2 linked regions of the Pelodiscus sinensis genome follow. Each later gene encodes a partner of the first gene's protein in a complex. Links are inferred from orthologs where the notes say so. Each region holds a gene or a part of one and is shown on either strand. Other genes may lie near its edges.

Region 1 (3,600 bases):
CACAAGAGTTCTTGTGCAAAAGTACTTGCGCAAGAGCACATCCACACTGCCAAGTGCTTTTGCACAGGAGCATCCACGCATCCATGGCAGTGTGATGCTCTCTTGCACAAGAAAGCTCTGATGGCTATTTTAGCCACAGGGCTTTCTTGCGCAAGAAACTCCTTGCCCATCCACACTGCCTTCTTGCGCAAGAACTCTTGCGCAAGAGGGCTTATTCCTCATGGAGAGAGGAATAACTCTTGTGCAAGAAGCCCTCTTTTCCGACGCTTTACTGTAAATTTACTTGAGCAAGAACACGTGTGCAGTGTAGATGCTACACAAGTTTTTGCACAAGAACAGTTGTTCTTGCGCAAAAAGCCTACAGTGTAGACGTAGCCTAGGAGTAATGGCACCATTATAAGCTAGGGAAAATGTCACGAATGACTGTCTCCATAATAGACTCAGGCCAGGTAAAGCTACCATTTCCATCCACTACATCATCTGTCTTCCTTTAGAGGGGCTGCAGCAGCAGAATAATTACAATACCTAATGTGAAGGGGATGGCGAAAGAAATAATATACTGTTACTGAATAATTCAGAATAAATTATTTAAAAGCCTGATTTGCATCAAAGAATGAACCATTAAGCATTTAAGATGTAACCTACTTTATCTCTTTCTATATCAACAAGAAGAAATAATTTGTGTCAGCCATAAAAAGAACACCTCGTTATGAAAGGCACCTGATGCTATTTTCTTATTCTAAGAAATATGTAAGGCATCTTCAATTCTTGGATTTTATTTTTTTTAAGGCCCACTATGACATAACTATAGGGCTGTTTTGGACTTTTTATGCACAATCTGGAATGAGATGCCTATGGGCAAAAGTTTGATGTTTAAAGCTTGTTATGCCTACCAGAAAACCAGAAGACAAGTATTGCAATACTTCATAACTAAAGAAATTCAGTCAAACTCCTGCCAATCTGTAGGTCCTAGGGAAAGAGGTAAAGGCCATATAAAGTGAGGAAGTGGGTTAACAAGCTAGACTTTCAAAACAGGTGCTATTATTGCTCAGTTCAGTCATTACAAAGATGTTTGATGCAATCTTTATAGGTACTAAGGGCCCAATCACTTGAACCAGATTCTGGCACATTACCTACACTGACATTTTCCTTCTCCTCCCTCTGTGGGCCATAAGTCAATTAACAGTCCTGGGGATTTCTGTGGGAGTACTTGCAGAGTAGAGCACTATCCAGTGTGAGAAAGGGTAACAGAATCAGCCCAGAATAATTTCTCAAACAAGCATTAACAGATAGATTAAACTGCCCTGCGAAGAACAAAATTTATTTGCTCTGGTAACATGGCTAGCATAAGGAGTTCTCAATACTTCATGCCTTGCTCACCACCTTGCTCAAGAACAGTAATGAATGAATGGAACATGCATAGGTCAAATACATTCATTAAAAATAGATACAGGCCAGACTAGATAAGATTTACATTTACTTGACTAGGCAGATTTTGTTTAGAAAACCTAAAATGAAAGTAGTGTAGAATCTCCGCAGGACCCACATCTGTGCACATGCACACCTGACCCAGCAAAATACATTTTTGCTCTGACCAGGGAGCGCAACAACAAACTATTAATAAAACTGGGGATGTGAAATGTACCACAGGCTGCTTTGTAAGTCGGTCTGCTGGAGTTTGAAAGACAGCAGGTTAGCTCAGTGCAGTGTGTCCTTTCCAAGAAAAAGTCAGAGCTTTCCTTCCACAGCTGACTGTAATCACCATGCCAAAGCCTAGGAAGCAGGCTGCCCTTGCTCTCCACCCCGCCACCCCCACTTTGCCAAAGTGGTGCCCATGATGGCAGCAGCAGCATTTGACCGCGAGCAGCGGCCAGAAGGACATCAGAGGGCGGGCTGCAGGACCCGGTGCTGATCGCCCCGCCAGGGCACGGTGGCCCCATGGGGTGCGCAGCGGACTACTCACACAGTGAAGTGATACACGAAGCACTTCCAGCCGGTGGGTCTCTCTAGGAAGTTATAGACCCTGCCTTGGATGTGGGTCCTGCTCAGCAGCGGGCGGCGAATGCTGTAGATGGAGACCCGAGGGTCCGGGCTGATGTGGGGCCGGGGGCAGTCCGTGTCCGTGTTCACCACCACCATCTCGCTCTTGAACGGCGGCTCGCCCCGATCCGCGTCCCGATCCGGCTCCGCGGGCGGGCTGGCATCCGGCTGCCTCGGCTCCTGGACCGCGGCCATCGGGGCGTAGTGGGCATGGGGGGTGTTTTCGGCCAGCTCCAGGGCGGAGGGCTTCTTGCTGGGAGTCATGCTGCCTTTCCGGGACGCAGGCAGCCGCCCCAAGCTCCAGCGTCTCTTCTCAGACTTGGGGGAGGCGGAGGTCATGACCGGAGGGGGAGGGAGGCGTGTGCGCGGGGAAGGAGGCGGCGGGGCAAGCCGCCGCAGGGCAGGGCAGGGCGGGATGCAGCCCCGGCGCTGCCCCGGGGAAGGAAGGCGGGAGGGACAGCCAGCCCACCGCTGGGGAGTCTCGCACGCTCCCTCCCCCGCTCCCGGAGCGCCTAGCCCGGCCCACCCCGAGGGACGGCCCCGCCGTGAAAGGTACGAGGTCTCCGCCTCCCTGCCACCCGACCCGAGGGAGGCTGCGAGCCCGGGTGGCAGCGGGAGCTGCCTGGCCCCCGGCCATTCCCCTCAGCCGCTGCGCGAGCTGCTCCGGCCGCCGGGTGGCGGCCAAGCCCGCGCCGGGCTTGCTGGGGGCTGCGCCTTTCCCCTCCCCCTTGTCAGAGCCAGTGTCAAGTCAACCCCATAGGCGCTGCCCGTTCGGGGGCTGGGACAGACAGTGCCCCGCAACATGTGGGAGGCTCCCTGCTGTGGGGCCTGGGCTGGGACAGACAGTGCCCCACAATGTGCGGGTGGCATGGCTGGCTCCTTACCATGGGGTCGGGGCTGGGACAGACAGTGCCCCACAATGCGAGGGTGGCATGGCTGGCTCCTTACCATGGGGTCGGGGCTGGGACAGACAGTGCCCCACAATGCGAGGGTGGCATGGCTGGCTCCTTACCATGGGGTCGGGGCTGGGACAGACAGTGCCCCACAATGCGAGGGTGGCATGGCTGGCTCCTTACCATGGGGTCGGGGCTGGGACAGACAGTGCCCCACAATGCGCGGGTGGCATGGCTGGCTCCTTACCATGGGGTCGGGGCTGGGACAGACAGTGCCCCACAATGCGAGGGTGGCATGGCTGGCTCCTTACCATGGGGTCGGGGCTGGGACAGACAGTGCCCCACAATGGGCGGTGGCATGGCTGGCTCCGTACCATGAGGCCGGGGATGGGACAAACAGTGCACCACAATGGACGGGTGGCATGGCTGGCTCCATACCATGAGGCCGGGGATGGGACAGACAGTGCCCCACAATGCGCGGGTGGCATGGCTGTCTCCGTGCCATGGGGCCGGGGCTGGGACAGACAATGCCCCACAATGCGCGGGTGGCATCGCTGGCTCCCTGAAGAGGGCCCAGGATGCTGCCTTAGGATGGGACCAGATCTGGGTGGCACCTCTGAGCAATACATAAGCCCTGGAAAGGGAAACGAAAGAAGCACCCCTGTCT
Region 2 (3,818 bases), on another chromosome or scaffold:
CATACTCAGATTAGTCCTCAGGGCCCTGGGCGGGCTGCGGCTAGCAGGAGGAGTCAGCTGCCTCCCTGCAGTTCCTGCAACGGCAGGAGCTGCAGGAAAGCAGAGCAATGCAGCAACCTGCTCTGCTCCGCTGCCATCTCCCAGGCCAGTCGGGTCTCCCCGCTTCACCATGGCTCCTGCCCCTACAGTGAGTGTGGAGGGAGGAGTTGCTCAACTCCTGATAATCCCCAAGACTGCATCCCTTGCGGGGGTTGGTGGAAAGGGTACAATGCAGGGGGCAAGAGGGCAGAGCAGGAGTGGGACAGGACAGAGCAGGGGCTGAGCTCAGGGAAAGGGTGTGAATACCTCCCCTCCCCAGGGCTGCAGAGACTCACGTGCCAGCAGCTGCATGGGCCAGTGTATAGGCAAAAAGTGAAACCTCTCCGTTTTTGTGACCGTCACAGTTTCTGTCATACATACATGACATTTGGTACAACTTCTCAGGAATTGCTACCTAGTGTTTCGGTCGCTGCACTGGCTTATGGAACTACTCAGGCTGATGCATGGGCCATGGGTTTGAGACTCCTGCCCTAAGGGCTTTCAAGCTTTATTTTGTTGTTAGAGGCTTATATGGTTTTGTCACTGGAGGTCCCTTGTAACAAAGCTGGTTGGCTCATGCTGGTTCAAGTTACATATGCCCCATATAGGATTCCCATCTCCTGTAACTAAGCCATAGTCACCCAGGGCTTCCCAGTTCCTATGACGCTGCACACCGTAGCCACTTAGAACTCCCCAGGGACAGGTGAAAGTCCCGATCCCCCTGCTCCCCAATCATTAGCCCACATCACGTTGTATTAGTATTTGTACATGATGGTGCCCAGGGACTCTAATCATAGACCAGGACATCATTGCGCTAGGCACCGTATAGACACAGAATAAAACAGTCGCTGCCCCCAAAGTGCTTAAAGGAGAATCTCCATGATATTAGCAACATAAAGCTTGACACAATTGAAGGGTTCTCACTCCATCCAGTAGAGGGCAGTCCTGCATACCCTTTAGACAAGACATTCAAGAGATAACTAATAATTATTCAACCAATTCCCACCTCTACTTCAAACTTAGCAGTGCCTACTCACCTAAAGTTTTCTCTCACCTGAGGAAAAACTACCTCCCCTCTCCCTGCTAATACAAGGGTGGATCAAAAAGGCTTTCCCAGGCTCTCTCAAGAGGACGCTCAGATTTCAGGAGCCGACAATATTTTTAGCCCAAAGGTTAAAACTTTCTGTAAAGAAATGAAGCGCCTGAAGAGGGACTTTTGTCAGGACACGTTCCTTGCCCCAGTGTCAATGTCACCGACACTCACTCTGGCTTTGCATCACCCCAGGTCCAAAGCAGAGGCACTCTCCACAACACACACAGGGCCAGAACCTGCCAGTTATGACAACCTCCCCTCCACCTCCCTCCCATAACTCATAGTAGCAGGTACATGTCACCCCGGAGCAGTCTGGTTCTTCCTGAACCCCCAGCACCTCCTTCAGCAAAAGGACAATGGGGCTGGGGCACAGGGCTGTGGGGTGGGAGCTTGGGAGGATTTGGGGATGGGGGTAGGGAGTGGATGAAGGGTGAGTAAGGGCTCCTTGGCGAAAGGTGCAGGAGGGCAAGGGAGTCCCCAGGGACATGGGATTGTGGTGTTCTGGGGAAGGTGCGGGGCTGGAGGGAAAATCAAGCGATTCTCTGGCGCAGGGAGTGGGGTGAAAGGTGAATAGAGGTTCAGGGGGGTCCTATGGCACAGGATGGAGGAGTCCTGGGACGGTTTGGGGGGTCCCCAGAGCAGGGGGCCGTGGATCCCTAGGGAAAGTGATTAGGAGGTTCAGGGTGGCTGGGGTAGGGGATCAGGGAGCTCAGGGATCCCCAGGGCAGGGGCTCCCTAGGGAAGGCTCTGGGGATCCCAGGGCAGGCTCAAAGGGTCTCCGGGGCAGGGGCTCCGTGGGGAGGAGTTCAGGGGTCCCGGGAGCGAGGCGCGGGGGCTCCGTGGGGGGAGGGTGTGGGAGCCCCCGGGGTGGGGGAGGCTCGGGGGTCGCAAAGGCTCCCTAGAGAAGACACGGGGATCCCGGGGTACCTCTCGCGGCGCCTTCCAGCCCGTCCTGCTCTCCCGGCCCCGGCCGCCCGCACTCGCCCGGCTGCAGCACGTGGGGGCCGCGCTGGGAGCGGCTGCCCCGGCCCCCGCCCCGCCCCCGCCGCTGGGAGGGAGCGCAGCGTCCCGGGGCAGGGCCACCTGCTGCTGCCCCCCATCGCCTCCCGCCAGCCTCGGCCGCAGCGCCGCCCCGCCAGCCTCGGGCCACGAGTTTCTGCCCCCCCCCGGGACCCTCAGCCCTAGGGGCACCCCACACACCCGGGCCCAGGGTCCCTGCCACGTGTCCCGGGGTGAGGGGTCCCGGCCCCCTGCCAGGTCCCCCAGGCTTGGGATCCCCGCTCCTGGCTCCCTACCGTATCCCCTAGGTAAGGGGTCCCAACCCCCTCTCACATCTCCCAGGCTTGGGGTCCCCTCTCCCAGGTCACATCCCTATGCCCCCAGCCCCAGCCCCAGCTTGGCCAGAGTCATCACTCCCACGGATGCAACCGTCTAAGGGAAGTCAGGAGGAGCTGAAAGGGCTGGCCCAGCATTTCCCCCTTCTGTACTCTGAGTCTTTCCTGTTCCTCTTCCCCAAGCCAGAGCACCCCCTGCCGCTGCCTCCAGCTTTGCTGCCCTCTGACCTAGAGGGCTCTGTGACACCAGTTGCTCTTGAATGAAATGAAAGCCCCTTGTGCAGCTGGAAGTGTGATTCCCCAGAGAGCAGAGGCAGCGGCTGGGCAGCCTGCCCCTGTGCTCCTGGGCTTTGTTCCATGTCCCCCAGATCTCCTTAACCCTGGTCGGTCTGGGTTGAGAGCTGCCTGTGGGAGCCATGCTGCACGAGTGCTGTTGGCAGGGAAAGAAGAGGAGAGAATTTACAGCCCACTCCAGATGCTACTTGCCTTGCTATGGGAAGGTGCTCAGCTAGCACAGTGGTGAGCAAGGTAGGAGAAGCTTTGGAGACTATAGTGTCCCAGGTGATTCTGTGAGATTGCTTGCTGTGGTGAGTAAGGAGGGATGGTTGGTGAGGATGTGTAGTCCTTAGCAGGAAGAGGTGCGACAACTCAGCAATGGTTTCACTCCTTCTTATAGAGAAGAAGGACCCAGGTGGCAAGGCTATCATTAGGATTTATGGGGCCCTACTCAGCAGTATTAAACTAGTGCCTCTATGCCCAACATCAGCTGAGGTAGGAGCGATTTTTTAGAGATGCGATTTTATAATCTTCAGCAACACACGAATGACATAGTTTTAAAGCAAATTTTAAACGAAGATCCTGTCGACTAACACAGTAAATTCAAAAGCTTCAGGGGGTAACGGAGTTAGTCTGTAACTGGAAAAATTTAAAAAACAAATATTCTTGCAGCACCTTATAGACTAACAAAACATGTAGATGGTATTGTGAGCTTTTGCGGGCACAACCCACTTCTTCAGGTGAATGGAGTTATTAAAGATCCAGTTTCAAAATAAATAAGGGATGGGGAGAAGAGAAAGAAAAAAAAAGGAAAGAAATAGTCTATTAGAATCTCCATGCTACATGAAGCTGATAGAGAAGTTGGAAATTGTTCTTAAGTATCCATTGTTTGGTTTTTTTATGTCATTAGGACGTGGAATGTAGCGTACCATCCCACCAATGTCTTTATTCAGAACTTTGTGATATGAACAGAATTTGGGGCAAATGCCACCAGTGGGTGCAACAGTGATCTGTCTGCTCACTTTAAAATCCAATAA

What was found. Proteins that work in one complex are often made in the same cells at the same time.
Region 2: the proteins of KCNQ1 (region 1) and KCNE3 are in contact, whole or in part, in a cryo-EM structure (PDB 6V01), measured with the Homo sapiens proteins. The link is inferred for Pelodiscus sinensis from reciprocal best matches to the Homo sapiens genes KCNQ1 and KCNE3. Residues at the interface, in NP_000209.2 of Homo sapiens: Arg116, Pro117, Thr118, Gly119, Trp120, Cys122, Phe123, His126, Phe127, Phe130, Leu134, Leu137, Ile138, Val141, Leu142, Ile145, Gln147, Tyr148, Arg181, Met238, Val241, Asp242, Gln244, Thr247, Lys362, Asn365, Ile368; in NP_005463.1 of Homo sapiens: Asp54, Asp55, Asn56, Ser57, Tyr58, Ile61, Met65, Phe68, Ala69, Val72, Gly73, Leu75, Ile76, Leu77, Tyr79, Thr80, Arg81, Ser82, Arg83, Val85, Lys87, Asp90.

The regions. Positions count from the first base shown.
Region 1 is NC_134714.1:115,475,630-115,479,229, forward strand, and holds the start of KCNQ1 (potassium voltage-gated channel subfamily KQT member 1), read right to left. Parts: upstream 2,518-3,600; 5' UTR 2,380-2,517; coding exon 1,964-2,379; intron 1-1,963. UniProt on the Homo sapiens protein: Pore-forming subunit of the voltage-gated potassium (Kv) channel involved in the regulation of cardiomyocyte excitability and important in normal development and functions of myocardium, inner ear, stomach and colon.
Region 2 is NC_134711.1:322,493,840-322,497,657, forward strand, and holds the start of KCNE3 (potassium voltage-gated channel subfamily E member 3), read right to left. Parts: upstream 2,309-3,818; 5' UTR 2,099-2,308; intron 1-2,098. UniProt on the Homo sapiens protein: Ancillary protein that functions as a regulatory subunit of the voltage-gated potassium (Kv) channel complex composed of pore-forming and potassium-conducting alpha subunits and of regulatory beta subunits.